Linked DNA regions of Callithrix jacchus. The protein of the gene in region 4 purifies or fractionates together with the protein of the main gene of each other region. This does not show direct contact. Links are inferred from orthologs where the notes say so. Each region holds a gene or a part of one and is shown on either strand. Other genes may lie near its edges.

Region 1 (3,801 bases), on a different chromosome or scaffold from region 4:
CACACATATATCTATTCTCTCCACATGTCAGTGCCCATTCATATTATGGTTTGGAAATGGGGAGAATAGATTCCCCTTAAACTGCAAGTCAGCAGGTGTTTCTTTACAGTTAACTTTAGCAAAATTCATACAAAATAGTAATTAACAATGATCTTCTTTACTTGTTAACTCACAAGGAAACACCTTCAAAACTGCATTTTGTTAAAGTTTCTGTACTAAAATGTAGAAAAACTGAACTACACAAATATTGAAAAGTTAAAAATTCCTTAATTTTTTATTCCTGGTACCACTACCACAATTTACAGGGCAATATACCTGATGTAATGAAAAGAAAAAGAAAAAGACAAAGCTACAACAGATAAAAGACCTCAGGAATGTACATCTAATTGACACTACATTGCATTAATCAATAGCTGCACTTTTTGCAAACTGTGGCTATGACAGTCCTGAACAAGAAGGGTTTCCTGTTTAAGCTGCAGTAACTTTTCTGACTATGGATCATCGCTCCTTCTGTGGCAGATTTTTACAGTTCCTCTAATGCATTTGGGACGACTGTCTCAAAGTAACCTGCAGCTTTCCTGACAACTCCTCGCTCTCTCTCCTGCTAAGAACTGTAGCCTGTTGAATAATACAGGATAAAAAAATTATTACACTCAGTGAACAGTTCCACATATTCTTTATCATCATGACAAAAATTTAAAGATACCTACCCTTTTCTGCTGCTTTTAGAACCTTCTGCTACCATATCCACCACTTCCACCACCAGATCCATAACCACCTAAAAATATATATAATAGATCCATAACCACTAAAAATATACATAATATCTTAAAAGAAGTATGCATTTTTTTTAAATTAAAGACTCTTAAAGAATGATTTAAGAAGTACTTACCACCATAGGGACTGCCCGAGCTTCTTCCACCAAAACTGCCCCCTTTCATGGGTCCATAATTTGATTGCTGTTGTCCACTATAATTTCCAAAATCATTATAGTTCCCACCACCACCATAGTTACCTGAAATCAGAAAGGGTTTATGTGTGGTTTACCCACACAATAATCATTTTCCCCTTTTGATGTAACTATTATTGTTTCACAATTATGGTAGCATGCTTACACACATCACTTTGGTAGCACCACTTGGAATAACTGATGTCAGCATATTGAAAGACCATCAACATTTTGTTTGTATTAGATGGTATTCTCTAGGCACATGTTCTTTCTACCATTAACACCATTGAAATTGTCAGTGTTCCACTCACTATGATGCTGCTGCAGTATAACATTTAAAACAATGTGAAGGCATTCTAACTTGTTAAACCTTCGCTCATCTGTCACTGACATGTTAATTAGGTCCAACAAAACAGGACACTCGTAAGGATCTTAACAGTATCCTGGAGTAATGACCTACATTAAAGCCTGCAACATACCTGTGACGTATTGACACAAAGTACTTTTTCTCTTACACCTAGATGGCAACCTGCTCACTTCAACTTGTCTCAGTATTCAAACAATTTACTCCCATTTGTCCATTTAAAAGTACTTAAAAGTTCAGTTTAAAAGTACCTAAGAGTCAAGGTAAAATTCTGGCAATATATAAACTCCCTATCTTTTACATGTATTATTACATACTGGCAAATGACCACTTTTAACTTCTCAACTAAGAGTTGAGTGTATTTTAGTAAACAATCAGCAAAGTCAAGAAAATTTGAATTACCCACCATTTTATTATTTTCTAATATTACAGAACACACAATTTTACCAACTGCTAACTTTTAACACTTGTCAAATATATGTCATGGGAACTGTTAGCAACACTGAATAGTTCACATTTAAATGAAAAAAGTGAATGCTTACCACCACCAAAATTTCCTCCTTCGTTGTAACCATCATATCCTCCACCACCGCCACCATATCCACCACCTTGGTTTCCATATCCTGGTCCACCACCACCATAACCCCCTCTACTACTATAACCAGGACCACCGCCATAGTTGCCACCTAAAAAAAAAACAACAAAAAATAAGAGCACACAAAAACATAAATGTGTAAAGAGTGAAGTTACTCAATTCTGGTGATTGTATGTTTAAGAAACCAGATCTTGGTCTGTTGCCCAGTCTCGAGTATAGTGGCATGACCACAACAATGCAGCCTTGAACTCCTGGGCTCATGCCACTCTCCCACGTCAGCCGCCCGAGTAGCTATACTATGGGCATGTGCCACCAAATTCCCCTATTTTTTCTAGCAACATGGTCTCCTGATGTTGCTCAGACTGGTCTCAAAATCCTCACCTCAAGTGATCCTTCTGCTCCAGCCTCCTGAATAGCTAGCATTACTCAATTCTGGTTTTATATTACATTTAAGCCACTGGCAAATAAGCCAATGAGTTAACACTCTGAAACCTGGTAATACCAAAAAATAATAGAATAGCAAGTATCTAGAGCTAGTAAGAATGAAAATAAATGCTTCAGTTTTCATTTTATCAATCTGCACTAAGAAAAATACAGCCCCAGACTTCAATTCTAGCTCAACTCCTAGTACTCTCTGAAAAAGACCAGTTAATGTTAAATCTCCAGGGGAAAAAGAGTCTCTACTCTTCTATGGCATTAGTTTGGAAATACGTCTTAACCATTAAGTCATTCAAGTTTTAATTAAAATTAGAAAGGTAGAATACTTAATTTTCCATAAGGTAAAGAAAGTTATTAAAATAAACCACCTACCATCACCAAATCCATTATATCCACCATCACCTCCTCCATAACTACCTCTGCTGCCACCACCTCCACCACCATAACCTCCTGAGGAAAAACAAGATATGAATTAAAATCATATATTTAACTTACCAAAACGTTAGGTACATATGTACTTAGAAGATAAACATCCTACCTCTTCCACCAAAGTTTCCACCACGGCCAAAATTACCTCCACCACCTCCAAAGTTTCCTCCGCGACCCATAAAATTGCCAGATCCACCTCCACGACCTTTAACATAGGCAAGGGAGATTTTAAGAATCTTACAGCCACCACTAAAATCTTTTGTGTACATGTGTATGATACTACTCACCTCTCTGTGATCCAGCAGACTGCATCTCTTGTTTAGAAAGGGCCTTTTTCACTTCACAATTATGCCCATTAATAGTGTGGTATTTCTGAACTACATTTTTTTTTTAATCAAACAAAACAAAAAGTTATTTTGTGTTTGGAAAAGCGCATATATATGATACCCTCTGTCATTATGTAACCCATTAAGACATAATCAGGTAGTGACTCTGGGAATGAAGGAGCATTCTGAGATGTTAATGTTTATTCCTTTACCTGGATACTGATTACAGAGTTATTGACCATACACTATAAAGGCTGTTACATGCAACAGAAAATTACAAGCAATTTGGCAAATTTAGTTCAAAACAGAGAAACCACTTTTTTCTCATTTAAGTTCCCATAAATTGCTACTTACCAACAATTTTATCAACTGTATCATGATCATCGAAAGTTACAAAAGCAAATCCTCTCTTTTTTCCACTCTGCCTGTCTTCCATAACTTCTATGGTTTCAATCTTGCCATACTTTTCAAAGTAGTCTCTCAAATTATACTCTTCCGTATCTTCTTTAATACCACCAACAAAAATTTTCTTCACTGTTAGATGGGCACCAGGCTTTACAGAATCCTACAAATCAAGTCATGTATTAAGTCAAGACATAAACTTTCACAACAATTTCACATATTTTACAACATATTATTAAAATACCTCTCTAGAAACAGCTCTCTTTGGTTCCACTACACGCCCATCAACCTTGTGTGG
Region 2 (4,287 bases), on a different chromosome or scaffold from region 4:
GAGTTGGGAAATCTGAGTTCTCATTTTGTCCTTACCTATCCAATGAGAAACAAAATTACTTCTCTGTGCTGCAATGAGAAAATAATTCGTATTGTATTAAAAGTAAGTCATATATAACATCACAGAATTGTTCTAAAGATAAAATAAAATGTGAATCAAAAACATACCTTTAAAATGTCCCACAAATGAGTAAGAAATTATCATTATTCCAACTTGGGCATCATTTAAATATAAAAGCATAGAATAATTTAAATTGGTTCACAGTTTGACTTTGGAGCATACAAGACAAGACCCAGGGCCAAATGAGGGCGGGGGAAGGGGGGAGTGGGGGGGGGTCGGATTCCTTGGACCTTGCCTAATCCATATCATCCTACACAAGAGCCTGGCCAAATTCAAACCTGGCTTGAGTTTTAAAACAGACTCTTATTAATTCTTCTGAATATTAAACCTCACCAGAAAAATAAGTAATTAACGAGATTCTTAGAAAGTGAAATACTCAGGGCTGCGGTGGCTCACACGTGTAATCCCAGCACTTTGGGAGGCCAAGGCAGGCGGATCACCTTAAGTCAGGAGTTCAAGACCAGCCTGGCCAACATGGTGAATCCCCGTCTCCTCTAAAAATTCAAAAAATTAGCCCGATGTGCTGGCAGGCACCTGTAATCCCAACTACTACTGGGGAGACTGAGGCTGGAGAATCACTTGAACCCAGGAGGCGGGGGTTCCAGTGAGCCAAGATTGTGCCACTGCACTCCAGCCTGGGTGACAGAGCAAAAGCAAGACTCTGTCTCAAATACAAATTGTAATAATCTTACCCTTTAAAAAAAAAAAGTAAGAATTTCCAATTCCCTATTGCATAGCCTACAGTGCACTGAAGTTCTTTATGGTGCCTGGCCCACAATGAATGGCATACAAGTCTCTTTTGAACGGCAATGATTGATTCCCTTATTTCTCATATCTTTCACACTATCTTTGTATACTTACATGGAGGCTAACATGTTTGTGTTCGTTAAGAATACTAAAAATTAAAATGCAAATAGCAGCTAAAAAGACAACTAAATTCTGCACATCCTACTTTGTTTTATTAGGCTTATTAGCCACTCTCACTATCGACTCTCAGACCCAACCATAAACTGATTATTTATAAATAACAATCACATTATGGCCCAAATGTTCAATGAAAAATATTAATTCTAAATCCAGAATAATGTACAAAAAAGCAGAAAGGTGAATAAAGACATTATTTTTGTGGAGGAACTAGAAACTGTTAAGTCTAATCAATAACTTTCCTAACAGTTCCAACTTCTAGCCCTATCATATTTAATAACACCAATTCAGACCATCTTCAACCCTGATCTAAATCAACTTTCCTCATTATGACTGTGCAAGCAGCCAACTTCCTACATGACTAATATTTGCTCAACAATTTCCTCAAGAGAAAAAGCACAAAACACTACCAGTTCTTAACCAGCTAACAGCAATTACTTCTCATAATCCGACCAACATCTAAAACTCAATAATTCCAGAACTCTCAAGCAAGACAATCGACCCGACCTTTCACGTAATGACTAACCCCTCTATCCCAAATGTCATGACTAAATACTACTCTATCATTCAAGATGCCAACTATGATGACAAAATGTCGATACCTAGCATTTCTCAAGTCAGAAGTTTCAGTATACTGTCATCCAGTAATTACAATTACATCTGACACGGGGATGTTATTTAACAAATGTGGTTCTCTCTTTTCAAGACACTTAGCGGAGAAGTGAAAAATCTGTTAACAGACTTTGACTACAGAGGTCTCAACAGCAGATTCCTAAGTGGCCCATCCTCAGAAATGGAAGAAGAGAGATATTTACACATACATACGATGGGTACTTAGTATTAAAAAAATGTATAAGACATCCATACTTATGTTTACAGCATCATCTATCAAACTTAAACAAATTTTGACCAACTCCATCCTCTGCATTCCAGGAAGCTTAGTCCTCTCCACTGACAAATTTAATTCATCTAAGTACTGCTGATTGACTGGGTGCTCAATTCATCACAGAGTCGAAAATTTTTAAGACCCAACGTCTTTGCCCAACTTTGTTATCCAAAACCATTTACTTGACCTTCCACCCTCTTCTATTCCCTCAACTCTCTTCACTTCCTCCTCAGCAACACTTACCTGCCTCTTTATTATCCCCACCCTGCGTGGACACTCCAACATTCCTACACCCCACCAACCAGGAGCTTGAATGCAAACAAACGCTCAAATCCCTCTACAGACACCACCACAGCACCAGTATCCCAAGCCCTCCAACAAGCCATCCCCACACCGGACCCCCCGCCCCCGAGCCTAGGCGGCAGAAACTCATAATTTAAGGACAAGAAGGCAATGCTCTTCAAACCCACCATACGAAGTCGTTGCTTTTGTCCTCGTAGGAGTTGATGAGCCCGTTGCAGAGGGGGGCGAGCAGAGGTCGCTTCCTGCTGCCGCTGCCTAGGCTGGAGCTGCTGCCTCCTACGCCGGCACTGGGCCTGGCCGCGCAGCTGTGCCGGGACAGGCCCGTGGACACCGCCCCGCCGCCGCTGCCCGACACGGCGGGCGCCACCAACACAGGCCGCACCGGGCCCCCGAGGCCGCCCGAGCCGGCGGCCTGGGCCGCCCCACCCGACACCGGCGCCGCCGCCGAAGCCGCCACGGAAGGCGGCGACGGGGAAGAGGATAAGGACGAGGAGGCGGAAGTCACCGAGGAGGCCGCCGAGGAGCCGGGGCTTGTCCCAGCGGAGCCCGACCCGGCCTGGCGGCTACCAGACATCGTGACTCCCTCCCCTCCGGCCGGGCGCTCGGAGGAGAGGGACCGCGACCTCGACCCTCCGCCGACTCCCCTCCCCTCAGCCCCAGTGCATCTTAAGGACGCCCGCCGCGCCGGGAGGTGGGGCTGAGGAACAATAAAGTTGCGTTTTTTTAAGGCAGCCACACCACGGCGTCCGACGGGAGGGGGCGGAGGAAACTAAAAAAGGGGAGTAGAAGGCACAACAGCTGTCCAGGCCGCCGCCGCCGCCGCGGTCCCCGCCGCAGCCAACCCCGGCGCGCCGTGGCCGACCGTGCGCGCGCGCGAGCGGCGGAAGGGGCGGGCGCGGCGGGGTATACAACTGTGGACGCAGCCGGGCTGCGCTAAGACACCCACGGCGCGCCCTCGGGGACGGGGCTCCCGGGCAAAGGGAGTCTCTCCGTCCCAAGCCGTTTTCTTTCGTTACGTGCCAGAGGGCAGGCCGTCTTAACGCAGTGAAAGGGCTGAGGAAAGTAGAATGAATGATAGAGGTGACGGAGTGGTTTCAAAGACGCTGATGTAGGGGTAGAAACCCTCAAAAAGTGGCTGCGCACGCGCGCGCCGAGCGTAGAAGCTCACGGGTTAGCCAGGGTATCCGCCCCAAGCGGAGAATATCCGCGCAGGCGCAGAGCGGCCGGATCACGCAGGCGTACGAACGCACCGCGTTCGCGAACTGGAAGGAGCTGTGTCTGTCTCCTGAGGAGTAGGCAGGTGCTTCCGAATCGCGGAATGAAGATGCTGTAAGCAGGAAACACACGGAAAGAACCCAGAAGTTTCGAGCGGTTGCAAACAGCACTGCATTGAGCCAACGCCTCCTCCTCTACTGAAGGTGATTCCACAGCTTTTTGAGGAATAAGTTAAGATGAAGTCAATGAAGTTTTCTGCAAATTGCAAACATTGTAGCAGGTGTTACCAATTTTACTAGTTCGACCACGACTTCACTCCTGTATTTTGAAAAGCTGTTTGCCACATTGAACATAACAATAATGGGAAAACAGATTTTACTCAGTCTGATATAATTCTAGCACGAAACAAGGAAACCTAGCATTTAATACCACCCGAAAATATGCTATTTCTGGTAGGCTTTTTTAGAATATTGAAATTTGATTATAGGTGGGCACGGTGGCTCATGTCTGTAATCCCAGCACTTTAAGAGGCGGAGGGTGGTGGATTCATCTGAGCCTAGGAGTTGGAGACCAACCTGGGCAACACAGTGAGAACTCGTCTCTGTAAAAAGTACAAAAAATTAGCTGGGCATGGTGGCAGCAGGCCTCTAGTCCCAGCTACTCGGGAGGCTGACATGGGAGGATTGCTTGAGCGGGGAAGGTTGAGACTATAGGGAGCCGGGATCACACCACTGCACTCCAGCCTGTGGGACAGAGACCCTGTCTCACAAAAAAAAAGAAAAAAAAAAAATTATTTGCCGCATTCTAAGGGGTGGAAGTCAGAAACAACTAAACTGTGT
Region 3 (3,801 bases), on a different chromosome or scaffold from region 4:
CTGATTGAGGTATACTTGCTCTTCTGGCAAAAGATGGCCTATTCTACTGCTGGCACTAAGACTTGAGGAGGAAGGAAAGACAGAATGAACGGTAAAAAGTCTACACTCACCTAGGAAATACATAAATCTGAAAAGGATTTAATGAATACATACGGGTCTTTATTCTCCTGGGACCCAAACATAATCATAGATTTCAAGGCATTCCAGTCCTGTAGAACACGCTCCAATGCAAGCTGGGCAAATCTTGGAGGCTCTAAATCATGATCAGGCATATCTGAATCTAAAATGAAAAAGAAGTAAGTGAGCAAAACAAAAATAAAACATATTGCTTCCCACAAGTTTCATAAATGTCTAATTTACTCACCTTCAGGACTGGCTGTTTTTCTATTACGATCTTCCCTGATGCGAGGTGGTCTGTACTGGCAATGCTCCACTGTCTGCCTTGCGACTGTCTGTACTAAGAATAGCAAGAGGTGCTCTCCCCTGCAAAACAGAACACTGCTGTGAGGAGGGAGGCTGAAAAGCTACTCTGGTGTGATGCACTTTTTTAACTTATTGCAAATTGTCCTAAAAATCCTACTTGCCTGCTGTTTGGCAGAGTGACCAGATTAGTAGCAGTGAGCAGGCGATAAAGTAGATCAAGACGAGCAGATTTCTGTCCAGCAATAAGAGTTTTACATTTACATTTCTCCCAACAATCACAGTAGGCTGTTGGTGACGTCCGTTTGAGTCTACAGAGAATTCATACACAAGTACAAAAACTGAATTTTTAAAATATACAATGGTTTATGTTAACATTATGAAGGCATAAATCACTGAAACTACAGAGAGCCCTTGTTAATTTCTAAATGCAAAGTATAACTGTCAAAGCTTATGTAACAAAAAGGATCACTCAGTGGTAATGGCGTCTACAAAGCAACTTCTCATTCCTATGAGAAGAGGTACTTTAAGACTCAGGTATAGGCCGGGCACGGTGGCTCACACCTGTAATCCCAGCACTTTGGGAGGCCGAGGCGGGTGGGTCACGAGAGATCGAGACCATCCTGGTCAACATGGTGAAACCCCGTCTCTACTAAAAATACAAAAAATTAGCTGGGCGTGGTGGCGCGTGCCTGTAATCCCAGCTACTGGGGAGGCTGAGGCAGGAGAATTGCCTGAACCCAGGAGGCGGAGGTTGCCGTGAGCCGAGATCTCGCCATTGCACTCCAGCCTGGGTAACAAGAGCGAAACTCCGTCTCAAAAGAAAAAGGAAAAAAAAAAAGACTCAGGTATAGCCACTTTTGCAATCTCTTCATGAACTCAAATGCCGTTCAAGTGGTCCTCCTGTATGCATCTAATGAGCCCTGTAAACCTACTGGCAGGTATTTCTTGCTTGTGGTCTCCCATCGGACTATGAACACTGTCAGGACTATTCATGACCACCCTGGCATCTAGTACACTTGGCAAAAAATCAATAATAAACAATTATTATACTTTTAGATGCTTAAAATAAGGAAGACAAAAATACCAACCAGAATTCTCTTAACAAAAATTATAAATAAGCAGTGCAATGTCCATTAAAATTTTTCACTTGTCCTATACAATTACTTAATGGCATGGTAGATGGTTTTTACAGTCCAATTCTCTATTAATTATAACATTTGCAGCCATTTATACTGATGTCCCTATCCATAATCCTAAAACATCCCAGATGTTAATGCTAGGGTATTTCGTTGCTTCTTAGGTTTGTGAAAACCAACAGAACTAGCTGTGGTAACTGTTGCTGAATGAAAGATTATTGCATTCAGTGTAACTAAGACACAGTTCAAACACTCACCTTGACTCCCTCAAGGCCTATGGCAATTTTCTTCTAGTATACCCTACTAGAGGGGGACTGAGAATTTGCTGCATAATACACTCAGGAACATTTGGTAGATCTATTTCTCAAAAGACTAATCTGATCCTAGGTACGATGTATAATCACTTACTTTTATTTAAGGAGGGCTACATTAGAACTAGCAAAGAAATCAAACATTTCAAAGTATACTTGAAATCAAGAATCACATATACACACAAACTGACTTAAACAAGGGAAATGTGATCTCATGCTTTCTGAATTAAAACATAGCTTAGTATAGATTTCCACAAAGCAATATAAATCTAAACAGTTCATAGTATGAAACTAAAGAAAACTAGAATTGTACTCACTTGCAATCATGACCTTTATGACAAACCCTTGCACATTCTGTACAACAACAAAGTGATTCCAGCAAGCCACAAGTTCGACACTCAAAAATATCCTAAAATTAAGAGTGTACTTTTAAAGGAATAATTAAAAGTATGCATATATCTCATCATCATTAATTATTTCTGGTATTTTCTGAAACAACTCAATCTCAACAAACAAAATTATGTGCTTTGGAAAACTAGGCGTTATAAAGAACTACAACAAATACACAGTTTATAACTGTATGTAAACAGAAAAAAATACACCATCCCCAAAAAGGCTTTACAGTTATAATATCTATATCAAAATTTGTCGATCAGATACTACCCAGTGAAAATTTTCATGATATGCCATATTTAACTGAGCAATCAGCTCTTCTGCCTCATTTACTTAGGAATTAAATCAACTTTCTTTATACCAGACCTAACAATTCCAAAGCTGAAAACTGAAAGTCTAGTGATAGTCATAGGGAAAAAAGACATAAAGATATGATTAATACCGAAAAATGTAAAAATAACTTACCTGGTTAATATGCTCTGCTCCAGTCCACGTAAAACTGCAAGTGTCATTACAACATAAGACATATAAAGGAGAGTCATCAGGGTTGGTACCTGATGGGCAAACCATTCCCATGAATACATCTTCCTCTTTTTCACTTGAGGATACTTCAGCTAAAAAAGTAAGAACACAGCAGTTCATCTCTCAGGAAAGGACTTAATTTTAATTAGCCATCCATTATCTTCAAATGGAAAGGCTTTAAGTGTATACACTATATATATATAAAATCAGAAATTATACATAGTTTTAAAAAGTGTTATACAGAGACAGCATGCAAATAAATTTAACCAATTCTGGAACAATATAAAGTAAAGCATAAAAATATCATGCCCGCATATGATGACAATACAAACACACTATGCATCAGCCACCTGAATCCTTAGTTCTGTTTCGGGCAGTTAAGATTCAAGTCCTGGCTCTAGTTAGCAAATTACAGGTCATATCATAAACTATCAGTGTTTTAAAAAGATAACTACTTTAATCTTTCAAAGGCTGGATAGTAAGAACTAAAAATCTTTAATGCTTTCTATTTAGCAGGAATTCTAAGTCATAAGTAACAACAAGACATCTATTATTCTTTAAAATGATATTACTTAACACCAATTAAGTACCAAGAAGTTCTATCAGTAATCCACCTTTATTTTCCAAAGATTTTACACTGTTTACATAATAAATATTTACATAATAAATATTATGGAATATTTATTTTTAAATCAAAAAATTTATATTAGCTATTTTTTTTTTCCCGCAACCTCTGCCTCCTGCTTTCAAGTGATTCTCTTGCCTCAGCCTCCTGAGTAGCTGGGATTACAGGTGTGTGCCACCACGCCTGGCTAATTTTTGTATATATATATATTTTTTTTTTTCTAAGAAAGAAAGGAAGAAAAAAGAAAAGAAGAAAGAAAAAAGAAAGCAAGGGAAAAAAAGAATGAAAGGGAGAAAGAAAGAGGGAGAGAGAACGGGAATCTTGCTCTATTGGCCAGGCTAGAATGCAGTCTAAAAATGGGTATGAAAAACCTCTGTTATGCCAATAAATG
Region 4 (4,364 bases):
CCAGAGTAATCCAAACACCCACCCAGCAGATGAGCACTTTGCATGTCTAGTTTGCAATTATTCTGATACAAGAAGCATCATTTTTCCCTATAGACAGGTTTCAAAGGGCCATTGTGCTGTGAAGAAAATGAAAACAAAACCAGCCAACCTGGTTCTGATTTGGCTCAATACCCCATCTGCTAAACTACATGAAAAATTTCAGAATTGGATCCTTTCTGGCAACAAGTGGCATAAATCAGTTTTCAGTTTAAGTCCCCATCATGCTTATTCATGCTGCTTAGAAAAGGAGGGGGCGGATTTACAATATATGTCTCTAGTTTCTATTTTAGAAATGACAAAATTTTCAATTTTTCCAGTACTTATTATTCATCCAGCCGTTTCCTTTTCGCAGTTAACATTAGCACACGAAGCTGGACTAGTAATACCGAGGATTTTTGGTCTTTTGCTTTGTCGGCTGAGCACAGTAAGATAATTCCCCGAGAAGTTATGTATAATCACAGTGTTAACCAAATAAATGAAAGACTCAAGAATAATTTCAGTGTCCATATTTCAAAAATTTATTTATCTCAAACTGTGCATAATGGAGTAAAAACTTAAGTTGAAAATGTACCTGTTATAAGGATGGTATTAGTTCAAATATATACATGGATTCTCGGCAGACTGATTCAAATAATACAGAGCCGAATCTTTTTAAAATACAGCTACGGAAAATAAAGGGGGAAAACCTTAAAATATCACAATAAATTTACAGAAATATTACAAACCATAAGAAAATATTTCAAACACAGTAATTTCATGTTTCTTTTTTATCTGAACAAAATGGAAAGTTGGGATTGAACAAAAGCTATTATAAATTACCAACGATGTCAACCTGCATGGCCATTTTTGCTTTTAATAGTAAGTTATAAAATTTAGTACAATCTAAAACTTTTGCCCTTTTAAACAAGACCACAGAGATGGTTTGCCAGTACTTATTCTAATTTTTTTCCTTTTGTACAATTTTTAATTCAAATGTCCAAATTTTAATAGTTTTCTTCTCTCCACGTTTGCAACTGTCCTAAATTTCAGCTGCAGAATCAAAATTCAACAAGAAGCCTCTCCTTGAAAAATATTGGCAAATTCTCAGCTTATAAACAATGGACATTTTGATTGCCATGTTTATCTCGATAAATACTGTACAAAAGTTGCTTGCAAATATTAAAACATTTTTTTCGTCGCTTGGAGACTAGCTCTAAATATTATTGGTAAAGACTTTTGCAAACTTCCTGCAAAGCTCCTCCCGTACCACTAGAACTTTTTAAAAGTTTTTCGTAGCTTTCTTTCCTCCAGATCTATACAAGGTCCATTCCCCCGCCCTCCCCACCCCTCCCCCCTGGTTTTCTCTGTACAAAAATAAGTCCCCAAAAAGAAGTCCAGGATCTCTCTCATAAAAGTTTTCTTGTCGGCATCGCGGTTTTTGAGTGAGTGTGGATGGGATCGGTGTTCTCTTTCGCAGCTGTCATTTGCTGTGGGTGATGAGACTCTTCTTTTTTTTCCTTTTTCTTTTCGAGCATACCGGGCTTTCTCCACGCAGTTTCCGACTCTCCTCTCTGCACCCCTCCCCCACTGATTCCCCTCGCTCTTGTCGGAGAATGCCTCCCCCGTCCAGTTCGCGGTCCGGCCCTCACATGTGCGAGAGCGGCAGTGTGCCGTTGATGGCCGTGCCGGGCACCGGGCCGCTCTGGTAGTGCTGGGACATGTGCAGTCTGCTGGGCGCGGCGGGCTCCGGCACCTCCGCGCCGGGGAGGTACATGCTGATCATGTCCCGGAGGTCCCCGGCCTGGCAGGGCGCCCTGGAGTGCGAGGAAGAGGTCACCACCGGCGGGCTGGAGCTCGCCTCCGACTTGACCACCGAGCCCATGGAGCCCAGCGCCATGCCGGGCGTGCCCTGCTGCGAGTAGGACATGCTGTAGGTGGGCGAGCCGTTCATGTAGGTCTGCGAGCTGGTCATGGAGTTGTACTGCAGCGCGCTCACGTCGTAGCGGTGCATGGGCTGCATCTGCGCCGCGCCGTGCGCGTTGAGGCCCGGGTGCTGCGGGTAGCCCAGCTGCTCCTGCATCATGCTGTAGCTGCCGTTGCTCCAGCCGTTCATGTGCGCGTAGCTGTCCATGCGCTGGTTCACGCCCGCGCCCAGGCCGGCGCCCACCCCGACCCCGCCGGCCATGCCGTTGCCGCCGGGCGCCAGCAGCCCGCCGGGCAGCGTGTACTTATCCTTCTTCATGAGCGTCTTGGTTTTCCGCCGGGGCCGGTACTTGTAATCCGGGTGCTCCTTCATGTGCAGCGCGCGCAGCCGCTTGGCCTCGTCGATGAACGGCCGCTTCTCCGTCTCGGACAGCAGCTTCCACTCGGCGCCCAGGCGCTTGCTGATCTCCGAGTTGTGCATCTTGGGGTTCTCCTGGGCCATCTTGCGCCGCTGCCCGCGGGACCACACCATGAAGGCGTTCATGGGCCGCTTGACGCGGTCGGGGCTGTTCTTCTGGTTGCCACCCGCCGCCGCCGCCGCCGCGGTGGGGTTGCCGCCGCCGCCCCCCGAAGTCTGCTGCGGGCCCGGCGGCTTCAGCTCCGTCTCCATCATGTTGTACATGCGGGCGCTGTGCGCGGGCCCGGCCCGCCGGCGGCCGCCGACCCTCCTCGGCCCGGCCGGGACTTTGGGGGGCCCGCGGGCGGGGGGGCGGAGGAGGGGAGGCGGGCGGGGGTGCCGGGAGCGCGGGACTCCGCAAGGAGAATCAGGCGAGGAACAATTTGGGGGCAAAAAAGCGAGAGAGGCAGAGGCTGGAATCAGGATCAAAAAAAAAAAAAAAAAAAACCGCGCGTTCCCTCCTCCTCCGGCCGGAGCCGCCGCCGCCGAGGATTGTTATGGTTATTTTTTGGAAAGGCTTAAGCCCGGGGCTCAAACTTCTCTCCTTTCTTTCTCCTCTTCTTTCTCTCCGTCCCCGTCTTAAAGAGGCAGCAAACTACTTTCCCCCTTTTGCAAACACTCTCTTCTCTGCCTTGACAACTCCTGATACTTTTTTGAACAAGTTAATAGACAACCGTCCATGTGACGGGGGCTGTCAGGGAATAAATGGGTTTCCCGCGACCAATCAGCGCGCGGCGGCTCCTCCACTCGGGCCCGGCCTCGCCGCCGGGTTTTGCATGAAAGGGGGCGGGGCCTCGCGGGCCGCCGGCGCGGGGGCGGGGGCGGGGGCGGGGGAGGGGAGAGGGGGAGGGGAGGGGATGGGAGGGGCGGCGGGGAGGGAGGCGGCTCCGGGCCGGCCTGCCAGCCACTGAGAAACCTTTGTATCCCCCTCGCAGCAACAGGTCACGCCACACGCCTTTTCGAAGGAAGTGGGTAAACAGCACCAAGACTACGTGGGTTTTTTCTTTTTTAAACTTAACACTGATTTACTTTTTGGTGCAGGGTGCTGAAGTGAGGATGGGACGCGGGGGGCAGCTAAGGTGCGGGGGTGGGGCAGGGCTCAGTGGGTGGCTCGGGGCGACGGTCCAGCTCGTGTTTCTGGAAACCGCCAGTGCAAGGCTGGGTGTGTCATTGTCCCGCCGCCCATTCGCGCAGTGCCCCCAGCTCCTGCCCCTCTGCGGCTCCCACGCCGCGCGCTTCCTCTCCCCTCTTCCCCCGCAGGTGCCGGCGTTCCCGCACGCCCTTCAGACAGGGTCTCCACTAGAAGTTAGGAGACTCGAACCTCGGTCCTCAAAGCCTTCCTTGCTTCCACCTAACGTGCTCTGTTCTTAAACATCAATCCTGGTCGGACCACGAGGCCGACTCCAGAGCTGGGAACCCGCAGGCCTTGGGAAGCTGCCATCTCTCTGTCCCACTCAGCTCTGGCCCAGGAAACCGCAGCTCGCCTTCTTACTCCCAGCCCCAACTCCCACTGGCCTGTCTCCAGTCAACCGGAGCAAAGGGGATGCTCCTACGCTCTCCCCCCCGTTCCCCATTCCCACCCCAGGCCTCCCCCAAAGAGGGGTTTCAGTCGTGCGGGTTTCAAATGGGGGCTGGGGAAAGAGAGAGAGACAAACGGAAGGGCGCTCCAAAGTGCAGGATGGGGGAGGGTAACTTCAACTTCCTGGCATCCCACGGCACTGTGCGGAGGTGGCATTTGGGCCCCAGTCACAAACTCCCTCCCACGCAGGGTTCCCTGGGCGCCAGCAGAACCAGCCCTGGCATTTCCCTCGTGGGTTTCCACCGTGGTGGCCGCTGAGGGGCTCCAGGCCTGGGAGGCGGGGTCCAAGCTCTCCAGGCACAGGTGCAGGCAGCGCACGCAGGGAGCAGGCGGCCGGCACTGGGGCGCGGGGAGCCCGGCGAGGCCCGGGTTAGAGGAGGCTGAGAT
Region 5 (4,600 bases), on a different chromosome or scaffold from region 4:
TGACTTCAGCTCTGAGTGAAATGTGGAGTCATCGCAGGGATGTGAACAGAGGAGTGATGTCTTGTAGACTAACCTGTAACTATCTGCTCATAAGGAAAGCCTGGTAAAGTGCAAGGCAGTTCTCCAGTCAAAGAACTGACTGCTAAGTAGTCCCAAGACTGGAAGTAAAGCTGCTGTACAAGATAAGGACACTAGGCCACTGGAGAACTGGGCAAGGGGCTCTCCTTTCCCTCATCTCAAATTATTCTCAATGTTTGGGGTTGTTTTGTTGTTGTTGCTGCTGCTGCTGCTGTTGAGATAGGGTATTGCTCTGCTGCCCAGGCTGCAGTGCAGTGGTGTGATCTCAGCTCATTCTAGCCTCAACTCCTGGGCTCAGATGATCCTCCCACCTCAGCCTCCCAAGTATCTGGAACTACAGGCACATGCCACTATGCCCAGCTAATGTTCTGTATTTTTTACAGAGTCAGGGTTTTGCCCTGTTGCCCAGGCTGGTCTTGAAATCCTGGCCTCAAGCAAACCATCCATTTTGGCCTACCACAGTGCTGGGAAAACAGGCATGAGCCACTGTGCCTGGCCTAAATGTTTGGTTTTTATCGACAAGAAAGGGAAAAGAAACTGAAAGAAGCCTGATGGTTTCCGATCCTGATTTTATGAGCCAGGATGCTGTGCTACTTCCACAGGTGTTTTGTTATATTTTTGCAGTTGTTTTCTTGTCAAACTTTGAGCTTCCTCACTGAAAACAAATTTCAAAGTTTCACCTCATCCACTGTAATGGCCATGAACTTATTTACTAATAATATATGGAATAAAAGCACAGAGCTTCATAGAAGGCGGACGTCACTATGGAAAGATGCCCAGTTAGAACTACTTTTCAAAATATTACAGGTATGCAAGATGAAAAACTCAAATAGGGAATACAAAGCTACAAAATATACTTGAAGACTGCAGTTATATCCGGCCAAGGCAGTAATGATAATTTCTGTTTTCTTTCCTTTTTTTTTCTTGAGACAAGGTCTTGCTCTGTTTCCCCGGATGTAGGGCAGTGGCACAATCATAGCTCACTGCAGCCTACACCTCCTGAGTTCACACAAACCTCCCATCTCAGCCTCCTGAGTAGCTAGGACTACAGCTGTGCACCATTACACCTGGCTAATGTTTAATTTTCTTTTTTTAATTTGAGGCAGAGTCTTGCTCTGTTGCCCAGGCTGGAGTGCAGTGGTGTGATCTCAGCTCACTGCAACCTCTGCCTCCTGGGTTCCAGTGATTCTCCTGCCTCAGCCTCCCCAGTAGCTGGGATTACAGACATGCCCCAGGCTAAAGTGCAGTGGCCCGATCTCAGCTCACTGCAACCTCTGCCTCCTGGGTTCCAGTGAGTCTCCTGTCTCAGCTTCCCCAGTAGCTGGGATTATAGGCATGAACCATCATTCCCAGATAATTTTTGAATTTTTGTATTTTTAGTAGAGACAGGATTTCCCCATTGGCCAGTCTAGTCTCAAACTCAGGTGATCTACCTGGGTTGGCCTCCCAAAAGGCTGGGATTACAGGCGTGAGCCACCACACCTGGCCTAATAAATTTTTTTTTTAAGGTTGGGATCTCATTATGTTGCCCAGCCTGGTCTCAAAGTGCTGGGATTACAGGCATGAGCCACCATACCCACCAGTAATGATAATTTCTATTGGTCACAACTTTGGTTTAAATTTTCTAGTAAAACTTGAAACTCATAAAGGTACTCATTAATTGAACTACAAAAATAAGCCATGCCAATAAGCAAAATGGGGAGAAGCTTGTAACTCTAATCACAAGAAAAGTGGTCATTTCTTTAAAATATAAATGGTTCTTATAAACCAAAAAGAAAATTTCAACAATCCAAAAGGAAAACTTCTGAATTGAATTGACACACAAAAGATATGACAGTTCACTCAAAAAGGAAAGATAAAGATACTAAGCAATAAATTCAAAATTAAATCAAAGTAAGATACCAGTGGCACAAACCAAACACTTTGCTGACACTGTGGGGTAGGCTATGGCAAATTCATATATTGCTTATGAGGGTATAAATTAATATAACTTGTTTGTATTTTACTTTCTCAGTAGCTCAAAAATTTAAAAGAACCTACGCTTTGGCCTAGTGAATCCACTCTAAAAAATTATCTCACAGATATGGTTCCTGTGTATAGGTTAAATGAAAGACATTCATTCACTGAGCACTATTTATAAAAGTAAATGACTAAACCATCTATGGGTCCATCAATAAGATTCTGGTGAAATTATGTTTCATCTGTACACTGAAAAAGTATAGAGCAGTTAAAAAAATAAGATAAATATATATGCACTGTCATATTCAAATCCTCTGCCACTGTAAATGAAAAATATAATCTGCATAACATGAATAGTGCAATAACATTTATGAAAAAGGTATATTTGCTATATCTTTGATATGCATTTATTGCATAGAAAAGGTTTGCAAGGATGTAGACCCACTTTTTAACACTTCCTTTAAGAGGAATGGGATAAAAAAGTTTAGAATTTTCCCCCACTTTTCTCAATATACATTTACTTCTTTCACAAGGAGAATGTATGCACATGTTACATTTGTGGACAGAGAATAAAAATAATAACTAAGATAAGTGTATCAGTCTCACAAAAGCCTTACCTGAAACTGCTACTGGGTGAACCCCAAGAAAGGTAAAAATCTGTCAGTCAGGACACGTGGTATTTCTGTGCCATTTGTGTGTGGGAGAAACACCCAAATTCTCCCAATGAATTGTGAGTTCCGTAGGAGAGGCACGCGTTTGATGGCCTTGAAGAAGCGTTCCTTGTGTTTGCTGAACCCCTGACAGCCCAGGCACGCCTCAAACAAATTTCAGATTCGTTGGGCTACCAGGCCAACCACGTGCTCCCAACGCCTCTTCCGCTTCCGGGCGCGTGGCCGGAGCTCTAGCAGACTCCGTTAGAACGTCTCCAGGAAACCGTCGGTTGGGGTGGAGATTTGCGCCCCACAGCTGCTTTTTCACCTGATGTCCAGCCTGTGCTTCCTGGAAATGAGCTTCTGGTCTCTAAGGTATCGGGGCTGCCGGACCAGAGCCTGGGGCGAAGCGGGAGCGGGAGTCGGCGCCAAGGAAGAGTAACTGGACAACTGGCCTGAGGCGAGCCGGGAGTCCGAGCGGAGTCGGTCCAAATCGGAAGGGAAACCGGAGCCGGGCGGAGCCCAGACAGCGCTGTTCGAGGTCTGCGTCCAGCCCAGTGGAGCTCCGGGTGTGGGACAGGGACCGAATCGAGACGGGGCTGGGCGTCATGGCAGCCCTGGGAGCGGCAACCGTTGCTGGAGCAGGGGCCGCAGCCACCCCGGCGTGGGAGGGGAAGGACGCATCCCTGCTGGCGCGAAACCCTGAGTCGGTCGCCGTCGACCCGCGCCGCTGCCACGCCAACCGCCTGAAGGGCCAGCTGTCCCGCACCCACCAGTGGCTGCGGTGGCAGGTGGGCCCGCACCCATGATCCTCCTTTGGCGCCCATGATGCTGCCGGCTGCGCTGGGCTCCGGCTTCCTCTACCTGCCCAAGGACAAGAAGACCTGGAGGAGCCGTGTACAGCCGCTGACAGCCCGGCCAAGGCTGAATGGGCTTCTTACAGGGCCATTTCACCACCACCGACTCCTACCACTTCTCCAGGAGGAGCCCCAAGGCCAATTTCGCCTCCATTCTGGTGGTCTCCCACAGCAGCTCATAGCTGGAACCAGACTTCTTTGCTGACGTCAGTAAATTACACAGCGTGATGCAGGATCTGCAGGTCCCACAGGGAAACGGAAGCCAGATCCAGTACGAGCAGTTGTCCCTGAAGTACCAGATGCTCTGTGTGTCCCCCAACCCACTCCTGCATGCCTGGCAGGTGGACAAAACCCTTGACCTAAGCAGCATCACCTTCCCCATCTACAACCACAGCGGGCATCCCCTCTTCCTGACTGGCTTCTTTGGAGGACACATCTTGGGGGACACTAGGGATGGGCCAGTTACTCCTGCGGGCCAAAGCCATGTGGCTGCTATACTACCTGAAGACCGAGCACCCGGACGTAAGAGCAAGCAGTGGCTCACCCATTTCCTCCACCAATTTAACATTAAAAACTATCTGGCTGTGAAGAAAAGTGAGGTACCTGGCAGTTCAGGTTTACAAGGAGGCCAGGAGGTGGCAGGGATGAGAAAGACTTGCTCCGGGAACCATAACAAAAGCACTGCATGTCTACTTCAAGGGGTCCTTGCCTCAAAGCTGGGTTTGCTCTACTGTATTTGGTACAGAGAGTAGAGTATCCAACTCTCTGAAATTAACACCTGCAAATGCCAGGAATGGTGAATTCTTGGTAATGTTCAAGTCAGTCGATAACACAAATCCTGTGTCCACCAGATGGGGCTGTTCAGTACAGACACTGATCTTCATGTTTAATTTTGGGGTTTGGTTTCTAACCATATTACAGTGCTCTGAAATTCTACTTTTAGCTAAAGTCTTCACTGGTTTTGGGGAGTTCCCAAAACTTGCTTGGCGCTCGCTGAGTATATTTTTTGTGGCAGGTAGTCCACTTTATATTGCTTTCCTGAAAACTGGAATTCGA
Region 6 (4,445 bases), on a different chromosome or scaffold from region 4:
ATTTCATTTCATTTTAAAGGTTAAATACTTAATGTAGGGCCGGAAGCGGTGGCTCACGCCTGTAATCCCAGCACTTTGGGAGGCCGAGGCAGGTGGATCACGAGGTCAAGAGATCGAGACCATCCTGGTCAACATGGTGAAACCCCGTCTCCATTAAAAATACAAAAAAATTAGCTGGGCACGGTGGCGCGTGCCTGTAATCCCAGCTACTCAGGAGGCTGAGGCAAGAGAATCGCCTGAACCCAGGAGGCGGAGTTTGTGGTGAGCCGAGATCGTGCCATTGCACTCCAGCCTGGGTAACAAGAGCAAAACTCTGTCTCAAAAAAAAAATTTAATGTAAAGTGCTCAGACACCAAACATTAAATATAGCTATATTTTTCTTCCATGTTTTTATTTTATTTTATTTTATTTTTTTGAGATAGGGTTTCACTTTTGTTGCCCAGGTGGTGTGCAATGGTCAGACGTGGGCTCACTGCAACCTCCATTTCCCGGGTTCAAGTGATTCTCTTGCCTCAGCCTCCCAAGTAGCTGGGATTACAGGTGTGTGTCACCATGCCCGGCTCATTTTGTATTTTTAATTTTTAATAGAGATGGGGTTTCACCATGGTGGTCAGGTTGGTCTCAAACTTCTGACCTCAAGTGATCCACCCTCCTCAGCCTCCCCAAGTGAGCTACCGGCGCCTGGCCCTTCCATTTGTTCTTACTAGAACTTAAATATTACTATTCTATCTTCTCAAAGTCTCACTTCTTCACAGTGGGTTGTGACTTCGCTGCAATTCCTTTGCAAGATAATTCAGAAGTACCTTAAAAGCCAGGCTCTGGCAGGGCGTGGTGTCTTACGCCTGTAATCCCAGAACTTTGGGAGGCCAAAGTGGGCGGATCATCTGAGGTCAGGAGTTCGAAACCAGAGTGAGCAAGAGGTGAAACCCCATCTCTACTAAAAATACAAAAATCAGTCAGGCATGGTGGCACTCGCCTGTAATCCCAGCTACTCAGGAGGCTGAGGCAGAAGAATCGCTTGAACCCGAAAGGTGGAGGCTGCAGTGAGGTAAGATAGCGCCACTACATTCCAGCCTGGGTGACAGTGAGACTCTGTCTCAGAAAAAATAAAAAGCCAGGCTCAATATACATTAACACTTATCAATGCCACAAAGAATCCATACATCCCGATTTCATTCTTTCAGTGAACCAACATTACCTCAAACACACTTACCAATTTCAGTTTGGTTTAAAGAAAAAAAAAAAAAATTCATCCAGAAAACAGAAGTTAAAAATAAAGAGCGCTCTCTTAGTTAAGCAGTGAGGGGAGACTGAAAATTACAGGGAACTTTTAAGGGTCAATAGTTTTTGACAGTTATCTTAAAAAAGCATAAAAGATGAACACCACATTGGTAAAGAGCCCTTAACTTACAGTGTTGGGAGACAGAACAAAGGGAGGGAGGTAATATTTTCATAACGAACTGTTCATTATATTAACCTTGCCATAGAGTCCAACCACTCATTCAGTGTTGAATGATGGGAATTTTTACTTGCATACTAAAATTTAAGTATCATAAGAAATATTTATTAAAATAATGTTTTAACTAGAAGTGGAGGTCAGACAGCTTTAGGGAAAAATCAGGGCGACTAGGTGATTGGCCAATGCTGATCAGAAAAAGAGCGCTAATCTACAGAACAAAGACTCATTTCTTTTTCACTACTGAATAAAATATGTAAAACAAAGCAACAAAAAGACCAAGACTTTCAGTACAAGCATCATGCAACTTCTCTCAATTTCTGTCCATCTCGTTGGGAAACGTCATGAGAACTACGCGGCAGTCCCTATCGTCCCATTTCAACGTCTCTAGGGTTATTTCACTCCTTCTTCAATGGTGAACCCACGGTGTAAAATTAAAGACAACCTTCAAGCTCAGTATAGCAATTCTTATTTTATCAGCCTTAGTAGGAAATCTGATTCGAAAACCTCAAGCTCCGATCCCCATAAATCGCTCCTTCCTCCCAGCAACTTAAGCTGCGGTTACCGCTAAGTCCGGCTCGGCCCCAGAGACAGCGACGCGCTGGACAGGGCATTCCAGCCTCACCCCACCTCACCTCGGCCTTTCCTCCCACGGCCCCTCCCCCGTTCTGGCTGTCTTCACCTCCCACACCTCGGTCGAGGGGCTCATTGCCACTCGCGATCAAAAAGGCTTCCCCCTCGGGGAAAGGGGGAAATACAGGTTCATTTCTGGAAGAATCTGCGCGCTCGGAGCGCGGGGCAGCCGCAGGAGGAGGGAGGAGTGAAGAGTCGGGAAAGGGGCGGGGAGCTCAGCACTATCCATCAAGATGTTAGCGCTAGGAGATCGCAAAGTCGCCTTCGGGCCTGCACTGCAGCCTAGAAATTCTCCCTCGCACTCCAGACTGAGGTGGGAATGTGGACTCCAGGGTCCCAAAAACGAAGATGAGACCGGAGCTCCCGACTTCCTCGGTCCCGAGGGGGCGGAAGGCGAGAGGAACAAAGCCAGGGCCACTCATGCCTTGGGATGGCCGGGCGACCCAGAGGGACCCGGGAGGCCCCCTTACCTGCCGTCAGCAGCTGCATGGCGTGAGTGAAGGACGGGTCGAGTGAGTCCTTCTCCGCCATGAGTTCGGGCAGGTACTTGTTCTCCGGCTCCATCTTGACCGAGGCTGTGGCTGAGGGGGGCAGCAGCGGGGTCGGAGCTGGCCCGCCCACTGTCGCGTCGGGACCCGTGGCCGAAGGCGGCAGCAGCGGTGGCGGCTGCGTGGCGGGCGAGGCGCGGGCACCTCCGCGGGATCCCCCTCCGCCTCCCCGGGACCGGTGAGGCAGCGGCGGCTGCCGAGACGGCGTCTGACGCACCGAGGGGTGGGCACCTGAAGGGTCCATGGAGCCGCTGCGGCCCGAGGACCGGCTCATGCGTGCGGCGGGGTCGTCCCGGCGCTGCATCGGGGAGGATGTGCGATCGAAGGAGTGAGAAAGCGACGCGGTAGCGGCGGAGGCCCGGGCGGCGGTTGGCGGGGGTGGGAGAGCGGGAGCGGTAGCGACCGAAGCCGACCCTAGCGACCCAGCGAGAGAGAGCACCGGAAATGAGGCGGCGCGCGTGCGCAGCCAGTCACCGGCACCGCCCTTGGGTTTCTCCGCGGAGAACAAAGTCCCCAGTCCAGCCACGGCGCCTGCGCACCACCGCGGCGTACGAAGAAGTGGCCTCCCGACTCCTGCTTTCCCTCCGCGCCCGCCAGGCCAGAATTTGGCGCGCATGCGCGGGAGGCTGCCGGCTCAGTTCGTTTCCTTTTCCACGTGACTCGGCGCTAGCGGGACACGTGGGTCCTTCCCCTTCTGGTTCAGTGGGCGGAGGGGGCGGGGGCTGTGGAATGTCTTTGTCTACGCGCGGGCCCGCCGAGTGTGGGGCGGGAGACCTGTTACTCGCCGGGCCACGCCCTCCAACGGCCGAAAGGCACGGACATTTTAGTGCGCAATGGGGTGGGGTGGTAAGGCGAGTAGCTTGGGGGCGGTCACTGAAGTGAGAAACTAAAAGGAGACTGCGGTGGGAGACCCAGAAAGGGAAGGGAGAGAGAACTGAGGCTGCCTAGGGAGGAAGAGAGGTGGGGGAGAGACAGAGACTGCACAAGGAGAAAGAAAGACTAAGGGAGAGTCTGACGCAGCAATAGCAGGGGAGATGGGGAAGGGAAACCTGGAGGGAGAAATTGAAGAAGGACGGCTTGGTGGAAACACTAAAAGCAATTGGAGGACTTGACCTAAGAGGGAGGGTTCGGATCAGAGACCTGAAGTCTAGCAAAGAAAAGGGCCCCAGACAGCAGGGAACACGAGAAGTCATTGCTAGTGTTATATATATTTCCAGTATTACATATATTGCAGTCGGTTCTAAAACGGTTGCCATTGCTGGTCAGGGAAATCTTAAAAGAAGCAGCATTTTAGCTCTTTTTACATATTTTACTGCTTTCTGTGACTTAACGTTTTGTTTAGCCGTCATTCTTGCCAGTTAAGTGTTTTTTCCGTCAAAAAGTGGGATAGAGACCAGATCCTTAATCGACGTTGGTTGCATCATTAGGATGGCTCCTTCTACCATTCCAGACTGGCTTAGAGAGACCCTTGCCACTACTCTCAAGGCCAAGGTACATACATAGTGGACAATCTTCAACGGCGTTCTCCACATCCTAGAGTGCTATATGCAAGTGGAGCCTTAGGTTCCTACTTGTCCCATAAACCATCAAAAGCCTAGTGCCTTAATTTTTCCTTCCCTCCACAGATTTTTTTTCTTCTCCCATTTAAAGCACTCGAGACTCCCATCCCTTTTCCTTTTGGATCATTTCTCCTAATGAGCCCACACTTTTCCAAAAGTCTTAGGGGACGGGTGCATTGGCTCATGCCTGTAATCCCAGCACTTTGGGAGGCCTAGGTGGGAGGATTACTTGAGGATAGCAGTTCTAGG
Region 7 (3,801 bases), on a different chromosome or scaffold from region 4:
ACTAACAAAGCCACTGCTGTGGGTACCATCCCATGTGTGCTCCAAGGAAAGCTACTCCCTGGTCACAGGTACATATCTCTTTTTCTCTTGATCTGACTGGCCAGCTTATACCTAGTGAGTGGTGAACTCTGAATGAGGTGGGATGAAAGGCAGTGGCTGAACACCTAGGCACTTCTACTACTAAGAAAACTGTTCATACCATGTGCCCTGTGGATAGAAGAGGCCCTTTATGTTTCTGAAGGCCTTTAGCATATCTGCCATCTGGTTCAAAATGAATGTTACTGGGGGTAGAAGAAAAGGGGAAGATTGAACAGAAAAGATGTTAACCTCATTGTTACAAATGTTAAGATTTCCCCTTATCCATCTCCTTTTGTCGGACCATTCACATCATTATCTCTTTATTGCCATTCTTTGTGTTGACAAAGTTTTCTGCCATTCATATTTGAATGTTACTCACACTGAAAATAGTGAGGGAGAGAATATAAAATCAAATTTTACTTCTAAGACTTTAAAGTATGCCCTTTAATATAGAAAATTGTCTCTTCGTTTAATAGAGGAGAGATGAGGTAATATTTCGTTTGTTTTTTTTGCCTGCTTACTAAATATATCCCCAGTGCCTAAAATAGTGCCTGGTACAAGTAATTGAGTAGGCTCTCAAATATTTTTTTGAATGAAGACTAAATGAAAGAGAGAACCGAAGTAGCTTAGTGATTTATACAGTCTGAATTACTAAACCTTAGGTTTTCAGCTGGCTGAACCAGGCTGCTGTTGACTATTCATTGTGGTTAGGTTACAGATTCCTAACACTTATAAAAACAGTCTAGGCTGTGACAAAAAGAGTAGGCTCATTTGTAGAAACAGCTGCTCTTAAACTCATGTTAGTTGCCCAGATGGTAAATAGTGTAAATTTTCAGTGGATGAATGTGTAGTCCACTTGTAAACAAACCACCTAAAAACCCAGCTTGGCCATCTTCCTTGGCTCAGTTTAGGCAGGGATGAGAGAAAAACCTTGGGCCTCCTAAGTATAGGGCCTGGCATGCTTACTTTCTATACTCATCCTTAGCATGTAGCTCTGACAAAACACTTCATGTTTCCTCATTCAGGCGAGACAGTACTAAAAGTATTTTTTTCCTTTCCTACAGATTCCTCCTTATGGACAACAAGGCCCCAGTGGGTATGGTCAACAGGGCCAGACTCCATATTACAACCAGCAAAGTCCTCACCCTCAGCAGCAGCAGCCACCCTACTCCCAGCAACCACCATCCCAGACCCCTCATGGCCAACCTTCATATCAGCAGCAGCCGCAGTCTCAGCCACCACAGCTCCAGCCCTCTCAGCCTCCATATTCCCAGCAGCCATCCCAGCCTCCACATCAGCAGTCCCCGACTCCATACCCCTCCCAGCAGTCCACGACACAGCAGCACCCCCAGAGCCAGCCCCCCTACTCACAGCCACAGGCTCAGTCTCCCTACCAGCAGCAGCAACCTCAGCAGCCAGCACCCTCGTCGCTCTCCCAGCAGGCTGCATATCCTCAGCCCCAGTCTCAGCAGTCCCAGCAAACTGCCTATTCCCAGCAGCGCTTCCCTCCGCCACAGGTAAGATATCGCTGCCTCCTGCCCTTCCCTGTGTGTGACCATGAGAACTTTGCCATACAAAGTGGTTCTCTAACTTGCACTTAAAGACCAATTAAACTCTGAGTAAACATGCTAACTGGATTGATTGAACTAATAAAGGCATAACCTTCTTAACTACATAAAGACCTATAGCTCTTCTTAATGATGAAGAAATAGGGCAATGGAAAGTTTCATAGATGGATAAGAAATTAAAGATAATGAGACTGGTTTTTTTTGTTGTTTTTTGTTAAATCAGTATCAGAACTTGAGCATCCAAGTGAGTTGTCTTTTTTCAAAACAGTCACTTTGAGAGGCAGTACCGTACATTCAGTCCATTTGCCATTCCATTCTGCTATCACTCAAAATACTTGGATCCCTTCCTTTGGAATTGCCACCAGAACTGATATCACATTCTTTAGCATATTCTCAGTGGTGGCAAATCTTATTTTTTGAGGGTGGATTTGATTTGGGGAAATACCAAAAATTCATTTGGAGTTATGTCTGGTGAACAAGACATAGGTAATAGAGCCTAAAATAGCATTCAGGGCTTTATTCTTTATAGAACCCAAAGAAGAAAAATGACTGAGTGATGACAGGTCCACTAAAAAGTTTATGTATTGGTGGCATTGTTGGAATAAGTATCTCAAGGTGATGTCTTTGAAGGAAGCAGTACTCATTTTAATGCAGAGGTTCTAGCATGATTTTTATGGTTTCATTGGTCTCATTCCTTGATAGATTTAACTTGAAGTTGACCAGACATTAGCATTTAACCCCGAAAAATAGCCCTCTGTAGGTAGCAATAAATGGGTGACAGTTCTATCAGAAAGAGTCCACTATTGATCATCTTTAGAGCCATGACTTGGATTTTTCTGGTCTTCAGATACTATTATTTGCAATTGGGCTTTCACTCACACTCATGAGAAACAGTCCAATAAGCTTTCACCATGAAGTAAGCTTGCCTGGTTTATCAATACCAGGCCATCACAGCTTTTGTTTTTCTTGTTGTAGGAGCTATCTCAAGATTCATTTGGGTCTCAGGCATCCTCAGCCCCCTCGATGACCTCCAGTAAGGGAGGGCAAGAAGATATGAACCTGAGCCTTCAGTCAAGACCCTCCAGCTTGCCTGTGAGTATTTCTGCACCTTCTGAAAGGTGATGGGGCAGAGAGGAAACAAAAACAAACTAGTTTCTGGTTGGAAGTTTTGGTAATTTTGATCTAAATGAATAAGTTGTTTCTTGAATTCAGGAAGCTTAAAGGTTGATTTGTAGATCTCTATTCTGTCTACCTGCCCAGGGAATAGGCTTGTGTTCTGTTTAGTTTGTTTTTTTAAATCTTGGGCTTTTAGACATGGACCCACATGAGGGGCAGAGAAGATGGAGATACTAGAAGCACTGTCTGCTCTATATCAAAGTTGAGAAAAGTATCAGTCTCTTGACTTTACTCTTAAGGGCTTAATTTTTAGGTTTTTGGCTTAATGTTTTAGCCACAAGGTAGGATCCTGGGGCAATTCAGCATGCATTGTCACATGGCTGGAGTAAAAGCAGTTTTTCTGATGGTGGTTTTTGCGTGAATAGGTGTTTTTTGTTTTCGAAGTATAGTACTTGGTGCCCAGGTGCTTAATTATGGAATTAGGTACTTATTTATGGAGTGGACTGACCATATCCTGAGAAAGGCAGTATAGTCTAGTGATTAAGCTCCTGGCTCTAGATACTGCCACTAACTGTTTCATGGGGGTGATGGTGAACATTAAATAGGTTAATAGAGAGCACACACGAGTACTGGCACATTGTAGGCACTCTGTAATTGTCAGCCTTTGTATTCATCGCCTCAGAGGGCATTAGGACTGTGCTTCATATCTGAAAGGCAGTTAACACCAACTAGGTGGTTCTAGGAACCTTTACTGTTAGTCTTAGCTCTGTGGGCAAGTTACTCAGCCTCTGAAAGTTAATCTGCTGGGCACAGAAATAAAATAGGATACTCTGAAATCTCTAGTCATCTAGTAAGTTGGTGGATAGCAAACTCACCATGACAAATCCTGCTTCACTTAGGAAATGGAAATTCAGCCACATACCCAGATAAGAATCTTTTGGAATTTTGACTCTACCTGGATTTAAAGCCTGTGTCTTCATTTATTCTGACCTGGGAGAAATGGTTTTAGGATCTCTTAAGAAATAGGCAGAAGGCAGGA

What was found.
Region 1: the proteins of SOX2 (region 4) and HNRNPA3 purify together in Homo sapiens (affinity purification with mass spectrometry; 3 studies listed by BioGRID and IntAct, with this or other methods). This does not show direct contact. The link is inferred for Callithrix jacchus from reciprocal best matches to the Homo sapiens genes SOX2 and HNRNPA3.
Region 2: the proteins of SOX2 (region 4) and COP1 purify together in Homo sapiens (affinity purification with western blotting; 3 studies listed by BioGRID). This does not show direct contact. The link is inferred for Callithrix jacchus from reciprocal best matches to the Homo sapiens genes SOX2 and COP1.
Region 3: the proteins of SOX2 (region 4) and UBR5 purify together in Homo sapiens (affinity purification with western blotting; 3 studies listed by BioGRID and IntAct, with this or other methods). This does not show direct contact. The link is inferred for Callithrix jacchus from reciprocal best matches to the Homo sapiens genes SOX2 and UBR5.
Region 5: the proteins of SOX2 (region 4) and SSB purify together in Homo sapiens (affinity purification with mass spectrometry; 3 studies listed by BioGRID and IntAct, with this or other methods). This does not show direct contact. The link is inferred for Callithrix jacchus from reciprocal best matches to the Homo sapiens genes SOX2 and SSB.
Region 6: the proteins of SOX2 (region 4) and KHDRBS1 purify together in Homo sapiens (affinity purification with mass spectrometry; 3 studies listed by BioGRID and IntAct, with this or other methods). This does not show direct contact. The link is inferred for Callithrix jacchus from reciprocal best matches to the Homo sapiens genes SOX2 and KHDRBS1.
Region 7: the proteins of SOX2 (region 4) and ARID1A purify together in Homo sapiens (affinity purification with mass spectrometry; 3 studies listed by BioGRID and IntAct, with this or other methods). This does not show direct contact. The link is inferred for Callithrix jacchus from reciprocal best matches to the Homo sapiens genes SOX2 and ARID1A.

The regions. Positions count from the first base shown.
Region 1 is NC_133507.1:52,156,533-52,160,333, forward strand, and holds part of HNRNPA3 (heterogeneous nuclear ribonucleoprotein A3), read right to left. Parts: coding exon 3,748-3,801; intron 3,667-3,747; coding exon 3,456-3,666; intron 3,153-3,455; coding exon 3,063-3,152; intron 2,981-3,062; coding exon 2,885-2,980; intron 2,797-2,884; coding exon 2,719-2,796; intron 2,000-2,718; coding exon 1,856-1,999; intron 1,016-1,855; coding exon 893-1,015; intron 779-892; coding exon 726-778; 3' UTR 711-725; intron 619-710; exon of another isoform or gene 1-618. UniProt on the Homo sapiens protein: Plays a role in cytoplasmic trafficking of RNA. Binds to the cis-acting response element, A2RE. May be involved in pre-mRNA splicing.
Region 2 is NC_133519.1:26,980,725-26,985,011, reverse strand, and holds the start of COP1 (E3 ubiquitin-protein ligase COP1), read right to left. Parts: upstream 3,073-4,287; 5' UTR 2,808-3,072; coding exon 2,401-2,807; intron 1-2,400. UniProt on the Homo sapiens protein: E3 ubiquitin-protein ligase that mediates ubiquitination and subsequent proteasomal degradation of target proteins.
Region 3 is NC_133517.1:94,643,330-94,647,130, reverse strand, and holds part of UBR5 (E3 ubiquitin-protein ligase UBR5), read right to left. Parts: intron 2,878-3,801; coding exon 2,729-2,877; intron 2,280-2,728; coding exon 2,188-2,279; intron 732-2,187; coding exon 585-731; intron 484-584; coding exon 365-483; intron 281-364; coding exon 154-280; intron 62-153; coding exon 1-61. UniProt on the Homo sapiens protein: E3 ubiquitin-protein ligase involved in different protein quality control pathways in the cytoplasm and nucleus. Mainly acts as a ubiquitin chain elongator that extends pre-ubiquitinated substrates.
Region 4 is NC_133516.1:9,953,667-9,958,030, reverse strand, and holds SOX2 (transcription factor SOX-2), read right to left. Parts: upstream 3,078-4,364; 5' UTR 2,624-3,077; coding exon 1,664-2,623; 3' UTR 534-1,663; downstream 1-533. UniProt on the Homo sapiens protein: Transcription factor that forms a trimeric complex with OCT4 on DNA and controls the expression of a number of genes involved in embryonic development such as YES1, FGF4, UTF1 and ZFP206. Binds to the proximal enhancer region of NANOG.
Region 5 is NC_133507.1:59,756,047-59,760,646, forward strand, and holds the start of SSB (lupus La protein), read right to left. Parts: upstream 2,895-4,600; 5' UTR 2,655-2,894; intron 1-2,654. UniProt on the Homo sapiens protein: Binds to the 3' poly(U) terminus of nascent RNA polymerase III transcripts, protecting them from exonuclease digestion and facilitating their folding and maturation.
Region 6 is NC_133508.1:68,627,009-68,631,453, reverse strand, and holds the start of KHDRBS1 (KH domain-containing, RNA-binding, signal transduction-associated protein 1), read right to left. Parts: upstream 3,075-4,445; 5' UTR 2,942-3,074; coding exon 2,560-2,941; intron 1-2,559. UniProt on the Homo sapiens protein: Recruited and tyrosine phosphorylated by several receptor systems, for example the T-cell, leptin and insulin receptors. Once phosphorylated, functions as an adapter protein in signal transduction cascades by binding to SH2 and SH3 domain-containing proteins.
Region 7 is NC_133508.1:63,387,317-63,391,117, forward strand, and holds part of ARID1A (AT-rich interactive domain-containing protein 1A), read left to right. Parts: intron 1-1,142; coding exon 1,143-1,595; intron 1,596-2,621; coding exon 2,622-2,738; intron 2,739-3,801. UniProt on the Homo sapiens protein: Involved in transcriptional activation and repression of select genes by chromatin remodeling (alteration of DNA-nucleosome topology).